Macaca fascicularis: one gene and its partners. The protein of the gene in region 2 purifies or fractionates together with the protein of the main gene of each other region. This does not show direct contact. Links are inferred from orthologs where the notes say so. Each region holds a gene or a part of one and is shown on either strand. Other genes may lie near its edges.

Region 1 (5,134 bases), on a different chromosome or scaffold from region 2:
CACTGTGTGATCTTGAAGAGGTCAAAACATTTTTTTTTTTTTTTTTTTTTTTTTTGAGACGGAGTCTTGCCCTGTTGCCCAGGCTGGAGTGCAGTGGCATGATCATGGCTCACGGCAACCTTTGCCTCCCAGGTTCAAGCTATTCTCCTGCTTCAGTTTCCAAAATAGCTGGGATTACAGGCGTCCATCACCACACCTGGCTAATTTTTGTATTTTTAGTACAGACGGGGTTTCACCGTGTTGGCCAGGCTGGTCTCCAACTCCTGACCTCAGGTGATCCACCCGCCTCAGCCTCCCAAAGTGCTGGGATTACAGGCGTGAGCCACCACGCCCGGCCTGGTCAAAACTTTGAGTCTTGCATTCCTTATCTCTAAAATGAGGTAAAGTTGGGGGTTTTTTTGTTTTGTTTTGTTTTGCAGATGGAGTTTCACTCTTGTTGTCCAGGCTGGAGCGCAACGGCGTGATCTCGGCTCACCAAAACCTCTGCCTCCCAGATTCAAGCAATTCTCCTGCCTCAGCCTCCCAAGTAGCTGGGATTACAGGTGTGCACCATGACACCTGGCTAATTTTTGTTTAGTAGAGACAGGGTTTCTCTGTGTTGGCCAGCTAGTCTTGAACTCCTGACCTCAGGTGATCCGCCCAACTCAGCCTCCTGAAGTGCTAGGATTACAGGTGTGAGCCACCGTGCCCAGCCAAAATGAGGTAAATTTTTAAGAGACTTCACATAAGGAAGGATTAAAATATTAAATGGAAAACTGAGTTTAGTGTCAATTAAGGATTATGCAATTGCTGGTTTAACTAATTTCCCATTTAGTTTTCAGCCTAGGGAAAAGCCTGTTAACTAAGTAAATGTTCCATTTTCTACCAACAGGAAAACAATCAGCTACAAAATCACCAATGTCTCTTGGATTTCAATCCTTGGTCAACAGTGCCAGATCTACAGAAGCAAAACTAAATTTTTTTTGTTTTTTTTTGTTTTTTTTGAGACGGAGTCTCGCTCTGTCACCCAGGCTGGAGTGCAGTGGCCGGATCTCGGCTCACTGCAAGCTCCGCCTCCCGGGTTCACGCCATTCTCCTGCCTCAGCCTCCCGAGTAGCTGGGACTACAGGCGCCCGCCACCGCGCCCGGCTAGTTTTTTGTATTTTTTAGTAGAGACGGGGTTTCACCATGTTACCCAGGATGGTCTCGATCTCCTGACCTCGTGATCCGCCCGTCTCAGCCTCCCAAAGTGCTGGGATTACTGGCTTGAGCCACTGCGCCTGGCAATTTTTTTTTCTTTCACAAAGTAGTTTTAAGCCTCCAAGCGTTTCAATCTTTAAAACGTCATTCAGGGACTTTAAATGAAGGAGTGAAGGCTGGGCATAGTGTCTCACACCTGTAATCCCAGCACTTTGGGAGGCCAAGGTGGGTGGATCACTTGAGGCCAGGAATTCAAGACCAGATTGGCCAACGTGGTGAAACCCCGTCTCTACTAAAAACACAAAAAATTAGCCGGGTGTGGTGGCATGCACCTACAGTCCCAGCTACTCGGGAGGCTGAGGCACAAAAATCGCTTAAACCCAGGAGGTGGAGGTTCCAATGAGCCAAGTTTGTGCTACTGCACTCCAGCCTGGCTGACACAGTGAGACTGTCTCCATAAATAAATAAATGGGAAAAAAGCAGACGAAGCATACTAGTTTCTTTTTTTCACCTTTATTTACAAAGAACACAACTCCTCTTGACACAAACATACACATTCCAAGGAGGAGCCCATTAGTAACAACAACAGACTGGGGAGAACGACGGGGCCTTATTGAACACTGTTCAATAAAGAACTAGTCTGTGTACTGCAGACTAGGGGTCACTGAGAACGTTTTCTCAGATACCACTTTTCACCTCCAAGACAGGAAAAGAGATCTTGACGTGGAGGCCCGCCCACCTACAAGGCAGAAAGCTCCACACTCAATCTTCAGCATCGTCAAACTGTCCTGTTTCAAAGACCATCTTGGAATAATGGGGTATCAGTGGAGGCGGATGGTGCCAGCTGGGGTCATAGATCATATCTCCTTGTGGGGCACAGCACACCCAAGGTTTGAGCTCTTGAGAAATGCTCTCCTGGATGTCGTCAGCATCTGCAGGCAGTTTTAAAAGACAGATTAAGGGAAGGAAGGAGGGAAGGAAGGAAGGTAAAAATGGACAGCCACAAAGTATGCCTAGGGGACAGATCCTTGCACTTATTTTGTTTAAAAACACACACAGTTCTCCTTTCCTGAAGAATTGTAAATGCATTCATTCTGAACAGCTGAGAAGCTGTGCTTCTCAGACAAGGGTTCTTAGCAGTGGAGAGGAAGCAAACTGGATAACACAGCACTTCTATCTGCAGCTGCTCAATTCATAGCAGACATTTTTGGAGACAGTGACAGTTTTGATGTTAAAACAGTGATACATTACGAAGTCAAATGTATTTTTTTCAATATAAAAGAGGTGTCACAGAAATTGCAGACCTGTAACAGATACCAGCCTAAGCTCATAGATGTGGACCCCTGTTCCAAACTGTCTGCCTTCAGCGCTAGTCTGACAGGTGTGTCTGAGAAGGCCTGGTTCAGGACCCCCAGAGACTCTACACCTACCATATGGATTCCCTTGATCTGCTTTCAACTCCAAGTCCCAGTCCTCATTAAAAATATCACCAGGCTGTTCCTTGGGTGGACAGTTTGTCCCTTCTGACAGCTCCCAGGTATTCAGTTCTCCATCAGAGTCCTCCTCATCCATGGCAAAACCTTCCTCTTCAGAATGGGTGCCCTCACCCCGGGCAGGACTGTCATTAGGGACGCTCTGTGCTCCACGGGCTAAATTGACAAAGAGAAGATGGCCTTAGTGACAAACCAAAGAGGACCTGCTGTGTGCTCAGTCAATTTTGGGCAGACTTACTAGGAAGGTAGTAAAGCAAGTACACAGAGTCTTCTTTCGCCACCTGAGCACTTTTTAAAAAATGCTCTTCTGTGTATGTTTTTAAAAGACCTGATAACTTATTTTCTTTTTTTTTTTTTTTTTTTTGGGGGGGGGGGCGGAGTCTCGCGCTGTCGCCCAGGCTGGAGTGCAGTGGCCGGATCTCAGCTCACTGCAAGCTCCGCTTCCCGGGTTTGCGCCATTCTCCTGCCGCAGCCTCCCAAGTAGCTGGGACTACAGGCGCCCGCCACCTCGCCCGGCTAGTTTTTTGTATTTTTTAGTAGAGACGGAATTTCACTGTGTTAGCCAGGATGGTCTCGATCTCCTGACCTCGTGATCCGCCCGTCTCGGCCTCCCAAAGTGCTGGGATTACAGGCTTGAGCCACCGCGCCCGGCCAACTTATTTTCAATAAGATGTTTTGTCTTATACAAGACCATTAATTGCCAGGTCCTTTAATTTACAAAGAGAGCTAGGGACAGTTAACATTTTCAGGTGGTTTGCATGTCTGTCACTGAGGCAAAGGGCCTCTGATAAATAATACGCTTTCACAATACAAGCTTGAATTAAGATTTTGCTTTTTTTTTTTTTTTTTTTTTGAGACAGTCTCACTCTGTAGCCCAGGTTGGAGTGCAGTGGCGCCATCTCAGCTCACTGCAACCTCTACCTCCCAGGTTCACGCAATTATCTGCCTCGGCCTCCTGAGAAGCTGGAATTACAGGTGCCCGCCACCATGCCCAGTTAATTTTTTTGTATTTTTAGTAGAGATGGGGTTTCACCATCTTGGCCAGGCTGGTCTTGAACTCCTGACCTTGTGATCCATCCGCCTCAGCCTCCCAAAGTGCTGGGATTACAGACGTAAGCCACCGCGCCCGGCCGTTTTTGCTCTTTTATTCCTCCCTTCAGCCTCAAAGAGCATGTTAGAGGTGAGCACAGGGACAAAGGAGAGCAGGGGCACTGCAGACAGACCAGAGCCTGTCTAGTTACAATGGGCAGCACCTAGTGCCTCCTTCTGACAGTGGGGAGGCTGGAAGGTACATTTGCAAAAGGTCTCACAATAAGAGAGGAAAGACTGGGGAAAGATAATGGATTTCCGAGCACAGTGCTTTGGTGATGCCAGGTCCCAGGAGAGAAGGCAATCAGCCTAAAACAGCCATGCTCTTAATACTGGAACAACAGTAACAGTGATAAGCAATAAAGTGATAGTTCAGAGCAAGGGGTCTAAAGCCAGACTGCCTGGTTTCAAATCCCTGTTTTGCCAAGTACTAAACATGGGACTGGGCAGGGCGTGGTACCTCACCCCTGTAAACCTAGCACTTTGGGAGGCCGAGGCAAGCAGACTGCTTGAGCTCAGAAGTTCAAGACCAGCCTGAACAATGTGGCAAAACCTTGTCTCTACAAAAACTTCAAAAAATTTAGCTGGGTGCAGTGGCATTCACCTGTAATCCCAGCTACTCAGGAGGCTGAGGTGGGAGGATCACTTGAGCCTGGGAGGCAGAGACTGCAGTGAGCCAAGATCGTGCCATTGCACAGAGTGAGACCCTGTCTCAAACAAACAAAAAAAAAAGTGTGACTGAGCTGAAATTTACTTAACTAGTTCCATAACATAAATACAGAATTACCATATGACCCAGCAATCCCAGTCCTAAACATATACCCAAAAGAACTGAAAAGAGGTGTTCAAATAAAACAAGGATACTGACAGCAGCACTACTTACAATCACCAAAAGGGAGAAACAACACAAATGTCCATCAATGGATGAATGGGAAAACAAAATGTGGTATATGCGTATGATGGAATTATTCAGCCATAAAAAGGAATGCAGTGCTGATACATGCTATGGCATGGATGCACCTTGAAAATACGCTAAGTGGAAGAAGCCATACACAAAAGGCACATGTTGTTATGATTCCATTTACAGGCAACTCACATTTGCCTATCCAGAATAGATAAATCCACAGAGACAGAAAGCAAATTAGTGGTTGCCAAGAACTCAGGGAAGGAAGGAATGGAGAATGACTACTTGGTGAGCACAGGGTTTCCTTTTAGGGTGATGAAAAGATTCTGGAACTAGGTACTGGTGATGGTTGCACAACACTGCCATTGTGCTAAAAGGCCACTGAATTATATGCTGTAAAATGGTTAAATGGTAAATTTATGTTAGGTATCTTTTACCACAATTTTTAAATTGTTTTTATTTAACTATT
Region 2 (5,749 bases):
ACAGACGGAGAATCTGTTCTCCAAAAGCACAATACACTTTTCTGAAGAGGAAAATGACTCACCCACCCACTGCTCCCCTTCCCTGATTCCCAAAGGATTCCACTTCACACTTACACCTCAGAAAGGCTTGAGTCCAGCACAGCAAGTGAGCAGTCTTCACTGAGAGAGGCCAGGAAGGGAACACTATCAGAGGGAGGAGAGGGTTGTGAAAGGCACAGCCTGGATCCCAAGACAAAACCTTAACTGAGCTGGCGCCACCGCTACTGTAAAGTGACCCAGAAAAGGCAGCCTGATTCCCACTTTTGGCTAAGGTCTGGCTACTCTAAGTTGACACTAAAAGTTTCAAGTAAAGATGAAGGAAATGAAGCAAAGTTAGGGTTGACAACCATCCTGGTAACTAACCGCCCCATCTGGTCCCTCTCTATAGCTTCAGCAATAACCCAGAAACACAGGCTTTTCCAACCTCACAGTCCCAGAAACCCACAATATGAACCATGTTGGGTGTTGAGCAGGAATGAGACCACATTTTAGCCATTTCAGACAGAAACCGTATAATCTGAAAAATCCTTTGATTCCCAAAGGATTCCACTTCCCACTTAAGAGATCTTTGATGTTCCAAAACCTCAGTTAGAACACTGTCTGCTTTAAGGAACTACTTAATGAGCTAATGCTTTGAAAACATACACACACACCCTCACTGTTCCCATTTATACCCATCAGGCCCCTGATGACAAAGAACAGTACCTGTGTGGGGAGAACACCAGCCCAGTGACACACTGGGAATGTACAGCTGAGCTCAGGACACAGCTTGTACTCTTGGTATCCACAAGGGAGACTGTCCCATTCTCATCACCTGTAGAAGAGAAGGGACATGTCATGGTAATTAAGAGCATGGACTTTGGGGCCAAAGATGTGAATCCTAGTTCCTTAAGCTTGGAAAAGTTAACCATTCTGAGCATCAGTTATCTCTTTTGCAAAGCAGGGATAAGTCGTCACTGGATGATTGTGAAAATTAAGTTAATGAATGAAGCAGTTATTATTTTAACCACAAACTACGTCACCATACACACAGCCTCATGACCACGATAGCTCTACACCTACCCACAGTAGAAAAGAATTCGCTGTATAGCAATCCACTTGCTTTGTGGCTCACTGACTTATAGCCATGCCCAGAATATAGGAGCTAGATCCATCAATCAAAAATCAAATCCACTGGGAAAATAATCATGTTCTCCAAAGCTACACTAAAACTACCTTGGCATCACCCCACCTCCCCACCCTCAATTCATAATTCATCTAGTGTCCATGAGGGCTAAGACTGAGCAGCAAGGGCCTTGTGCATTGTGGAGTCAGCTCTTTCTCTTTCCTCCTCCCCTTTCCCAGAGTCAATATGAAGTCTGACATGCTGCCTTACCAAAGACAAAGACTTCACTTTGCTGAGGATGCCAAGCCAGTGAGGTAGGAAGGTAGCCAGGCGCACTGCAGCCTGCAAAGGAGAGAAGAGGGTCTGGACAAAAACTCAAAAGAGTCCAGAAGAAGCGGTTTCTCAAATGACATCACTCTAAATCCTGGGAGCACCTTTATTTGATTTCCCAAACCCTGCTAAGGCAGCAGTGTCCTCATCCTTGAGCCTCATAACCATTTATCCACCAGCTTCCTGCCCTTTCTGGACATGAGTCACAGGCAAGTTTCAGGCACAAATCATGAAGATAACAATTCTGGCCCCTTTGTCCTCCCGTCTAATAAAGTAAATCAGCCACCCAGGAACTGGCCCTTCCTCTTGGTATGCATTGCAAGAATGGGGTTAGCAGAGTCTCAGTGGAAAAGAAGGAGATTATGTCACTCATGTCACAGTAACTACACTGGGCATCTGGCAACTATGCTTTGACACTGGCCAAAGAAATTCTCTTCTATCAGGGTTCCAAGTACTACTCTCCCACCAATGAATCTCAGACTCACCCATCTGTGATGCTGGCTTGGGACAGCGGGTATCCCAGAGTAAAATTCTGTTGTCCTAGAGGAAGGCGGAACAGAAAAAGGATCTCACAGTCCAAAGCGCTGCAGGCCAGAAAGTCTCCACACTAGAGACTTTGGCCTATGGAGGGCTGGAGTGTGTTTAGGGAAGAAGGAGCTATCTCTTACCTCGCTGCATGAAAGAAACACAGAGTCCTTGTGAGGAGAGGCAGCAACACAAGTGACCTGTGCAGCATGAGCTATAAAGGAGAGAGAAAGAGAAACATGATAGAAAACAAGCTGAAGCATTACAAGAGGGCCAGCCCAGGAGTAATCAAGGTGCAGGAGGGAGGGAGGGCTGGTCTCATGATGCAATTTAACAAATTTTGTGGGAGATTATGGATCAGACAAAAGCTAAGAGGAGAAGTTTATACACTTATAAAACCTAAAAAGCCTTGTAAAAAAAAAATGTATTAGTGAAAACAATGAATGAGAAATTAGGAGCTTATTAAGAATAACAAAGGAATTTCCAGTTAAGGCATCTTAGACGTGAGATCTAAATAATTCTAGAATAGCAGTCTTCATACTGGAGCACACATACCTCCAAGTAGTATACAAAAACTTTCGAGGGAGTTCTGGGCGCTAATAGTATTAAGAGAGCCAATTTCTCTAATGTTCTCTTTCTTAAAATTGAACTGCCTCTATTTTCACAATCACCCTTCTTCCACTTTAAAGAAAGAACACATACCTGTCATTCATCCCAGATCTTTCCATGGTACAATGCTCAGGGGTATAAAAACATAAGGGTTCTAAACTAAGGCACAAAAGCGGCTTTTCCCTAAGAACCGAAGAGCAAAAAGAAAGAGTATCTAGGTAAAATTCAATGAAGGGGGCGCTGATCTTGTTTCAGTCACACCACAAACACAAGTATGGTTCTGTAACTTCACTCTGTTTCTGTCTAATAACGAGAACTAAAACATATGACAGATCGTTGTGATAAGGACATATTCAACAACTTTATCTGAATTTAAAAACAAAGTCAGACTTTTTCTGATGGAAAATTTAGTCTAACTTGGTCCACTGGCTTTACAATGCAGATTGGCTTTTGCCAGTTAGGCTATTTGGTAGACATTTGTACAAACTAAATAGGATTAACCTGCAAACCTAAAATTTGGACAAATATACGCTTGAAATAAGTATATAATAAATTATATGCCAGAAATTACCTTCTCTGCAACTACTTAAAAAATTTCTTTAGGTATCAATTTTAAAATGTATGAGGGGGCACAGATTTTCAAAATTGTTTTAGGAGGTCTACATGTAAAAAACTTTAAAGTCACTGCTACATGTTAATTGGAAACTGTGGAAACCTCTTCCACAGTCATTTTACCAGACTTTCCCAGGTAGTCTGAATGTGGCCCTTCCCTGAGGCAGAAGGATGGAACTAAACCAGCTTCCATAGTTCTTTCCTAGCCCTAGAATTCATAGAAAGTCAACAGAATAAGAAGTAAGAAAAGGAATTTATTGCTCACTTGAAAAAAGCAAAGCTCTGGGACAAGCATCATGGTGGTAAAGAAAAGATGAAGAATACATGGTTCCTCTACCCTCAAAGGTTTTGGGGCAGGATGCAGTGGCTCATGCCTGTAATCTCTCAGCACTTTGGGAGGCCAAAGCGGGAGATCCCTTGAGCCCAGGAATTTGAGACCAGCCTGGGCAACATAGCAAGACTCTGTCTCTACAAAAAATTAAAAAAAAATAAAGGATTTGGAATTCAGCAGGGGGAATAAGACACAAACACAAAGAATAACAGAAAGGCTGCATGGCAGAAATGCTGAAAAAGAGTTAGCATTAACCAGGAAAGCACATATGTCTACGCAATAAAAGGCAAATATAATAGACGTAGGGCATTGACTTTTTTTTTCTCTCCTGAAACAGCTTCACTCTGTTGCCCAGGCTGGAGTGCAGTGACGTGATCTCGATTCACTGCAACCTCCGCCTCCTGGGTTCAAGCGATTCTCGGGCTTCAGCCTCCCAAGTAGTTGGGATTACAGATGTGCACCACTATGCCTGGCTAATTTTTGTACTTTTTAGTAAAGACAGGGTTTCGGCATGTTGGCCAGACTAGTCTCTTAACTCCTAGGCTTCATATGATCTGCCTACCTCAGCCTCCCAAAGTGCTGGGATTTCAGGCGTGAGCCACTGCGCACAGCTGGGCATTCAACATTATTGTAAAACTATTTGCAAGTGACCCTGAAGGTCCAGGATACTGGACCTTGGATATGAGTCTGTGATTTCTCTGGTCTATAACTTAATCATGTACTTTGAAGTTAGAAATGGCAGGGAAAGGCACTTAGCCATTAAGAGAACCACAGTGATCAATCACCCAGCATCTAAATCTTGGAACATGCACACATTAAGGCTCTAGACATTATCTTCACAAAGAATGGCTCCCAAGATAAAGTCAACCACTAGTGCTGTTAATGAAAGTGAGCAGAAAGAGGGGCATTAAAAAAGCAATGGTTCTCAAAAGAAAACAGACATTTTATGAAGGTAAATACTCAAAAGTTCAAGATTTGAAAGTCTCAAGATTTATCCCTTGAGAATGTCAAGGATCTAATAAGCTTGAAGAGAGGAAATGCAGTAAAAGGGTTTCAATGCCATTACAAGAAAATGGGATTTTAATCCACTGGCCACAAGAAACTAATAAAAGACCAAAAGAGCTAGATTGCTAGTGGAGACATGAGTGCTACTACCTGTGTAAGGTAAAGCCTGAAAGCGAATAGGGGCATAGAAATGGATAGGAAGGTGACTGACCAGTGGAAAAGACTAAAAAGAACTTAGTGGCCAACTGATGGTGGGGAAACAGAAGGGGTGGAAAAGGACCGAGAGTTTGAGCCCTGTGTTGCCAAGGTGGTGAGGCCATCAATAGAAACAGGGAAACTGGCTGGTCTGAAGGTAGCGAGTTATCTCAGTTGATTGTTCACAGTCAGTTACAGACTAAACTCCTTGTCTATTCTTCCCCTCTTTTCACTACTGTACTTGACTAGTCGAATTAAAAAAAAATAAAAAAGAAAGAAAAAAGAAACAAGGAAATTGAGAAAAGGACAAGGGGTAGATACTGGAGCCTGACTACTGTTTTATAAGAAAACTATCAGAACATGGAATTGCTGTTCCTAACATCAAAGCAAACTTCAGAAAGTCCAAAAACACAATAGCTAAGACCAGGGCTAAAAATGAAAGAATACTCACCTCGGTATGAATTCAGTACCACCTGCTGAGCAAGGTCCCAAACCTTGATGCTAAGAGGCAAAAGAAAACAGACATTTAATCTTGACCTACACTAGCAACATAAAAACGTGTTCAAACATGAACTTCCTGTAATCAACATTCCCCAAGTCTTTGCCTCCTGGACTGCTGCTATGGTCTACTTACAATGGACTGCAAAATCCCTAAGGAAACCTTATAGACATGCTAAAGTTAGTCACTGAATTCTTAGAATAAGCCCAAAATGTTACCTAATGAGGTTAACAGGATAGGAAAGGCGCCCAAAGGAGGCTCAGAGACAGAAGCAATGAGAACAGGGACCCACCAGAAGTCTTTGCTACCACTGACAGCTTGTGTGCCAGAGCTCAGGACACAGACTGTAGACACAATGTCATCATGCTCATACTTGCAGAACTTGCTGACAATAAGTGTTTCATTCTCATCTAGTTCCCACAATTCAACAGCACCTGTTGGGGGTAGGGTAAGGAAAACATGAGCTTGAATTATACCAAGGTAGTAATTCACTTCTAGG
Region 3 (6,055 bases), on a different chromosome or scaffold from region 2:
TGTTGGAAAGACACCTCGTGTTAAAAGCCCAACCAGCCCGGACAGGAAGCCTTTCTAACGACCAGAAACAACGTCACCATCAGGACGCCTTCTTAATGACAGGCGACGACATCGTCACCAGGACGACACGATGGGAGGTGACATCACCACCCAGCGCCTTCCTAACAACGGGAGGTGACACTGTCACCAGAATGTCTTCCTGTCCTTCGGGATGACATCATCAGTGTGTGGCTGGGGATCCTCTTCCCTGTCATCAGAATGGAGAACCTCGGATTCATCCCAAACCCCCCATCCCCCAGGTCCCAGCGCGTTGCCAGGCTGCCGCACAGGAAGCCACCCTGCACCTGCCCACCTCCCAGTCGCCCGACCCGACGACTCCTCTTAGCAACACTCCCCACCGTGACCTCAAGGGCTGTGAAATCAGCCGAAAGGGGCACACGCTACTCTCTAGAATCACAAAAGACAAAACACAATCTAAAAACAGAAAACCTGGGAGGAACCAGAGCGCGTTTCCAGAGGGAGTGGCCTCTCCCGAAAGCTGACTGGGCTTTGTCGTGGTGCCTGGCGGGGCCTCCTCACTCACCTGCCCACCCAGGCTCGGGAGCTGCCGCCCACTGTGCAAAGGCCACGCTCTGGCCACCCCTGCTCCTGACCTGGGAGGGCCATGCACTCCGGGCCTCAGTGTCCCCACGCAGGGACAGTGCTGGATCCTGCAAGGGCTCGAAAAGGACACCAAGTCGTACCTCTCCATCTACCCATTAACCATGAGCACCCGTCTCCCTCCAGCAGCCTGCGTTCTGCACCCGTCGCAGGATTTGAGGCGTTGTGACCTGTCAGAGGGCTTCCAGGGGTGAACACACACCAGGTCTTGGTAGGTGCTCCTCGCCCGGGTCAAGTTTAATCTAGTTAAACTTTTGGTTGAATTTCAAAGCAACAACCACAGAACAAAGACTCATTTAAATCTCCAAGAATGTCCCATGGGGTCTGCAGGGGCCACAACCTCAGGCTGAGGGCTGATCTCCGGTCCACACCGGTAAACAGGCACAGAGGCCACGTGCGCAGGAAGCATCCCCCGGGGCCTGCAATTTCCCCTCTCCAGGGCAGCACAGATCCCGGCTACCAACGCCTTCCAGTCCAGTCAAGTTTCCCTTCCTCACGGTGCTGTTTGCCAACAGCCACTGCCATCACCCCTGCGCCTGCTCTGTGTGGAAACAAAGACGGCAGCCCGGGGTCTGGCAGAGCAACAAACGTGGGGCCGGCAGAGAGCAGCCGGCAAGGCGACGGGGGCGGGGGCTCGAAACCAGCCCTGCTCTGCCCATTCTCTGCTGAGTGTTCCCAGGACCGAGTGCTCTGCGGGGCGGCCACAGGTGTGCACATGCAGGTGCCTGGACAACATCTGAGAAGCTGGTTGTAGGGTTTTGTTTCAGTTTTGGGAACCAAGAGAGGACAGAAGAACAAAAGGACCCGAGAGAGCCAGTGGGGGCGGCGTTCCCACAAGGTGGAAGCGGGAGTCACCGTCTGCAGCCTCCACCCGCCCTCACGTTGGGCAACTGGCGCCATCCCCCTAACGGACCAGAGCAGCTTGAAGAGCCCTCACTAGCTGGGGGCAGTGGCTGCGCCACCATGTACCTGAAGGAAGAGGGCTCCCGGTGGAGGGGTAAGGAGCTGGGGGGCGCTGGGGGCCCCCGGGCGCCCGTCCTGATGAGCTTCCCCGTGTTGGAGTCGTAGATTCGAACCTCGGGGCCAGGCTGGGCCTTGGGAAGAACCGGCATCGGGTGGAACAAGGTGGTGGGGGGCACACCCTCCCGGTCGGGAAAGGCTGCAGGACTGTTCTCCCTGTCGGAGGAACAGAACAAGGGCCATGAGCGGGGCGTCTGGGCGACGCAGAGCAGGCACCCAGGGACACCTGGCGGGCACTGCCTAGGTGTGTGAACCAACAGCTGTCTGGCGAGGGAACGCCTGGCAGGGATGTGCGGGGTGCGGCGAGGACCCACCTCTTGCTGTGGTCGTCCCTGAGCGGGAAGAGCTGCTCCTCCACCTTGTCCCAGCGCTCCAGGCAACTCCACAGCCAGTCAGGGTTGACCACGTGCAGGTGTCCGCACTCCTGCGCCTGCAGCACCTTCTCTGTGCCTGCGGGAGACCCGGCTGCATCAGGCTGTCTTGGCCAGCACTGGAGGCTCAGGGCCCACATCTGGCTGCACCCACCAGGGCCCTCACCCGACTGCACCCCACCAGGGCCCAGGGGCCTCACCTGGCTGCACCCACCAGGGCCCTCACCCAATTGCACCCCACCAGGGCCCAGGGCCCTCACCCGGCTGCACCCCACCAGGGCCCTCACCCAACTGCACCCCACCAGGGCCCAGGGCCCTCACCCGGCTGCATCCCACCAGGGCCCTCACCCAACTGCACCCCACCAGGGCTCAGGACCCTCACCCGACTGCATCCAACCAGGGCTCAGGGCCCTCACCTGGCTGTAATCACCAGGACTCGGGGCCTTCACCCGGCTGCACCCCACCAGGGCCCTCACCCAACTGCACCTCGCCAGGACTCAGGGCCCTCACCCAACTGCACCCCACCAGGGCTTGGGGCCCTCACCCGGCTGCACCCCACCAGGACCCTCAACAGACTGTACCCCACCAGGGCCCTCACCCGGCTGCAACCACCAGGGCTCAGGGCCCTCACCCGGCTGCACCCCACCAAGGCCCTCACCTGGCTGCACCCCACCAGAGCCCAGGGCCCTCACCCGGCTGCACCCCACCAGAGCCCAGGGCCCTCACTCGGCTGCACCCCACCAGAGCCCAGGGCCCTCACTCGGCTGTACCCCACCAGGGCTGCCCACTGCAGGTTCCCATCTCCCAGGCCAGGGATAAGCAGCCATGGTGGGAAGTGGTGGATCTCAGACGAGGAGCTGGGCACAGCAGGTGACGTGAGCATGTGTTCAGGAAGGCCCCTCAACAGTAAGGCCACAAACACCGAAGCAAAAAGAAACGTGAGCACAATTCCGGGGGAAGGAAGGAAAGCGAAAGAAGGGTCAAGAGCTGGGCAGACACAGGGCAGGGCAAATGGGCACCCGAGGGGCCAAGGAGGACCCCAGCCTGGCCCACCTCCATGCTCAGGAGAGAAGGGCCAGGAGCTGGGCACTCACGGGGCAGGGCAGATGGGCACCCGAGGGGCTCAGGAGGACCCCGGTCTGGCCTGGCTCCATGCACAGGAGAGAAGGGTCAGGAGCTGGGCAGACATGGGGCAGGGCAGACGGGCACCTGAGGAGCCAAGGAGGACCGTGGCCTGGCCCGGCTCCACGCTCAGGAGAGAAGGGCCTGACTGCCCGTGGGAGGCCAGGGCCTGGCTTTCTCCTGGGATCAAGGGTTTCGCTGGGCTCCACGGAAAGCCTGCCCCTGCCCTGCAGCCAGCACCTGCCTATTTCACACTGAGATGGAGCCTTCCATGTACCCTTGATTCAAACGCTTTACTGAGCACATGCATGTCCAACACCACGTGACACGGACTAGAGGCGTGGCCTCAAATAAGACCACACTTGCTGTCAGGGAGCGTGCGTGGACAGGGATGAGCTCACCCCACAAGGCTACCCTGAGCCCTGGAGGCGGGGCCACGCACTGAGAAGCCCTCTCAGGAAACGCCGCCAGGACAGGAAGCGCGATTGGAGGAGCAGAACCTGAAGTGATTTAGGCAATCTTCATTCGGGGAAAATCCAGGTGCTTATGGGAGCATTTTCACAGAATAACTAGAATACTGAGATATTTGGGTTTTTTAAGCACTGGGGTGCAAGTCTTCCTTCAAGATTCACCTATCGCTGAAAGGTTCTGTTTTATTCGGCAGAACTTTCAACGTGTCAGAGCGGCCTGCCCCGTCTGGGACAGGTTTCACCATCAGGAGACAGCAGGCCTGTCCTCCGCTCTCCCAGCCACAACGTGTCCTTCTACGCACGTTTCAGCCAAAACTTTGCACTTAGTTTTCTAACTCAGAGGCTTTGTCAACCTTTTACCTGTGAACTGAGGGCCCCGCATCCTGTTTCTGCCTGGAGTTTTTCCACTACACCCCATCGCTGATTCCTTGTTCTCTAATCCAGCCATGGCTCACTCACCCCATCGCTGATTCCCTGCTCTCCAATCCAGCCACGGCTCACTCACCCCATCGCTGATTCCCTGCTCTCCAATCCAGCCACGGCTCACTCACCCCATCGCTGATTCCCTGCTCTCCAATCCAGCCACGGCTCACTCACCCCATCGCTGATTCCCTGCTCTCCAATCCAGCCACGGCTCACTCACCCCATCGCTGATTCCCTGCTCTCCAATCCAGCCACGGCTCACTCACCCCATCGCTGATTCCCTGCTCTCCAATCCAGCCACGGCTCACTCACCCCATCGCTGATTCCCTGCTCTCCAATCCAGCCACGGCTCACTCACCCCATCGCTGATTCCCTGCTCTCCAATCCAGCCACGGCTCACTCACCCCATCGCTGATTCCCTGCTCTCCAGTCCAGCCACGGCTCACTCGCCCCATCGCTGATTCCCTGCTCTCCAGTCCAGCCATGGCTCACTCGCCCCATCGCTGATTCCCTGCTCTCCAATCCAGCCATGGCTCACTCATCCTATCGCTGATTCCCTGTTCTCTAATCCAGCCATGGATCACTCACCCCATCGCTGATTCCCTGCTCTCCATGGCTCACTCGCCCCATCGCTGATTCCCTGCTCTCTAATGCAGCCATGGCTCACTCCAGGGAGAAGCGCTGAACTTTCTACACCGCACGTGAGTAACTCACACCACCCAACACTGTGCGTGATGACTGCGGTCCGAAAGCATGAACGTGCCCGAACTCGAATTTCACCCAACGTCATGATCTATTCTTAAAATTTTGATGGTGATTCTGGGAAACGTTTCTAAAAGTTGAATGTGAGATGAACAGCAATGCCAGCTCTAAGGAGTGCCTGCAAGGAGACGGCGGGCCTGACCATGCCCGGGGCACAGGGAGGCAGCACTCACCAGCCCGCGCGGCGATCAGGTGCGTGGCCCTGTCAGGGGCGTCGGGGCTCAGCACCAGCCGAGTGAGGATCTTCGCTCCCAGCGCCGTGGCGTGGTAATGCTCCCGCGTCTTCTCTATCGGGAAGTTTGTCGGGTGCAGCCCACTGAAAATTATGGCCACATCAGCCAGCACCTTGCTCTTCAGTTCCGGCACGATCTTGCGGATATCCGGCGCCTCCTCGATCTCCTTGTTGAGGAAGCGGTCGTACTTGGCGTAGTAGTCGGTGTGCACACGGACCAGGATCTCCTCCAGGTAGATGAGGTGGTCATCCTCGTCCGTGTCCTCCTCCTCCTCCTCCTCCACACTCTGGTCCAGGGACTCGCCCGCGGTGACGCCCGACAGCTCGCTGTTCTGTGACTCGGTCTCCGCCTCCTTCCTGTCGGCACAGCCATTGCCCAGGCCGCAGAGGCCGTCCCGCTCGCCCTCCTCCTGCCCACCCAGCTCGGGCCCCTTGTCTGGGGCATGCGTGCCGGGCTCGGCCTCTCCGGGGAGACTCAGTGCTGCAGGCCGCCCCGGCTCCAGGGAACTGCCCTGAGCCAGCGCCCCGGCTCCCTCTGGAGCCGGGTTCTCCTCCTCCTTTGGCTTCTGCCGGCTTCTCCCCCCCTCACTTTCGCCGTCAGAGGCGGAGGAGGGAGACTTCGTGCCCTCGGACTCACTGCTGCTCTCGCTGTCGCTGGATAAGTCGAAGTCCAGGTCAGTGCCCGTGGCACCCTGGGCAGGCCGCTGTCCCGGTGCCGCCCGGCCACCCTGCACACAGGATCCTTGGGGCTCAGGAGTGCCTGCCAGCTCTCCACTGCTGGTGGGGGCCTGGGCAGCGGGCCAGGTGTCCCTCTCGTCCGGTTTCCCAGGGCGGGGCGAGTCCTGGGGGGCGGTAGCCTCACTGCCGTTCAGCTCCTGAGCCGGCTTCTCCAGGCCATTGCTGGGCTCCACTCCAAGGGCCTGCGTTCCCCACTCGGGCTCTCTCACGGGCGGAGCTTGCTCTGCGATCTCGGTGCCTCGAGAAGAATGATTTAC

What was found. The genes of interacting proteins can lie anywhere in the genome.
Region 1: the proteins of WDR77 (region 2) and COPRS purify together in Homo sapiens (affinity purification with mass spectrometry; 3 studies listed by BioGRID and IntAct, with this or other methods). This does not show direct contact. The link is inferred for Macaca fascicularis from reciprocal best matches to the Homo sapiens genes WDR77 and COPRS.
Region 3: the proteins of WDR77 (region 2) and CTDP1 fractionate together in Homo sapiens (co-fractionation; 3 studies listed by BioGRID and IntAct, with this or other methods). This does not show direct contact. The link is inferred for Macaca fascicularis from reciprocal best matches to the Homo sapiens genes WDR77 and CTDP1.

Annotation. Positions count from the first base shown.
Region 1 is NC_088390.1:38,090,489-38,095,622, forward strand, and holds the end of COPRS (coordinator of PRMT5 and differentiation stimulator), read right to left. Parts: intron 2,829-5,134; coding exon 2,610-2,828; intron 2,112-2,609; coding exon 1,942-2,111; 3' UTR 1,677-1,941; downstream 1-1,676. UniProt on the Homo sapiens protein: Histone-binding protein required for histone H4 methyltransferase activity of PRMT5.
Region 2 is NC_088375.1:122,922,866-122,928,614, reverse strand, and holds part of WDR77 (methylosome protein WDR77), read right to left. Parts: intron 5,685-5,749; coding exon 5,543-5,684; intron 5,253-5,542; coding exon 5,203-5,252; intron 2,214-5,202; coding exon 2,143-2,213; intron 2,015-2,142; coding exon 1,960-2,014; intron 1,487-1,959; coding exon 1,415-1,486; intron 854-1,414; coding exon 745-853; intron 184-744; coding exon 115-183; intron 1-114. UniProt on the Homo sapiens protein: Non-catalytic component of the methylosome complex, composed of PRMT5, WDR77 and CLNS1A, which modifies specific arginines to dimethylarginines in several spliceosomal Sm proteins and histones.
Region 3 is NC_088392.1:1,256,622-1,262,676, forward strand, and holds part of CTDP1 (RNA polymerase II subunit A C-terminal domain phosphatase), read right to left. Parts: intron 6,055-6,055; coding exon 5,002-6,054; intron 2,131-5,001; coding exon 1,995-2,130; intron 1,837-1,994; coding exon 1,630-1,836; intron 1-1,629. UniProt on the Homo sapiens protein: Processively dephosphorylates 'Ser-2' and 'Ser-5' of the heptad repeats YSPTSPS in the C-terminal domain of the largest RNA polymerase II subunit. This promotes the activity of RNA polymerase II.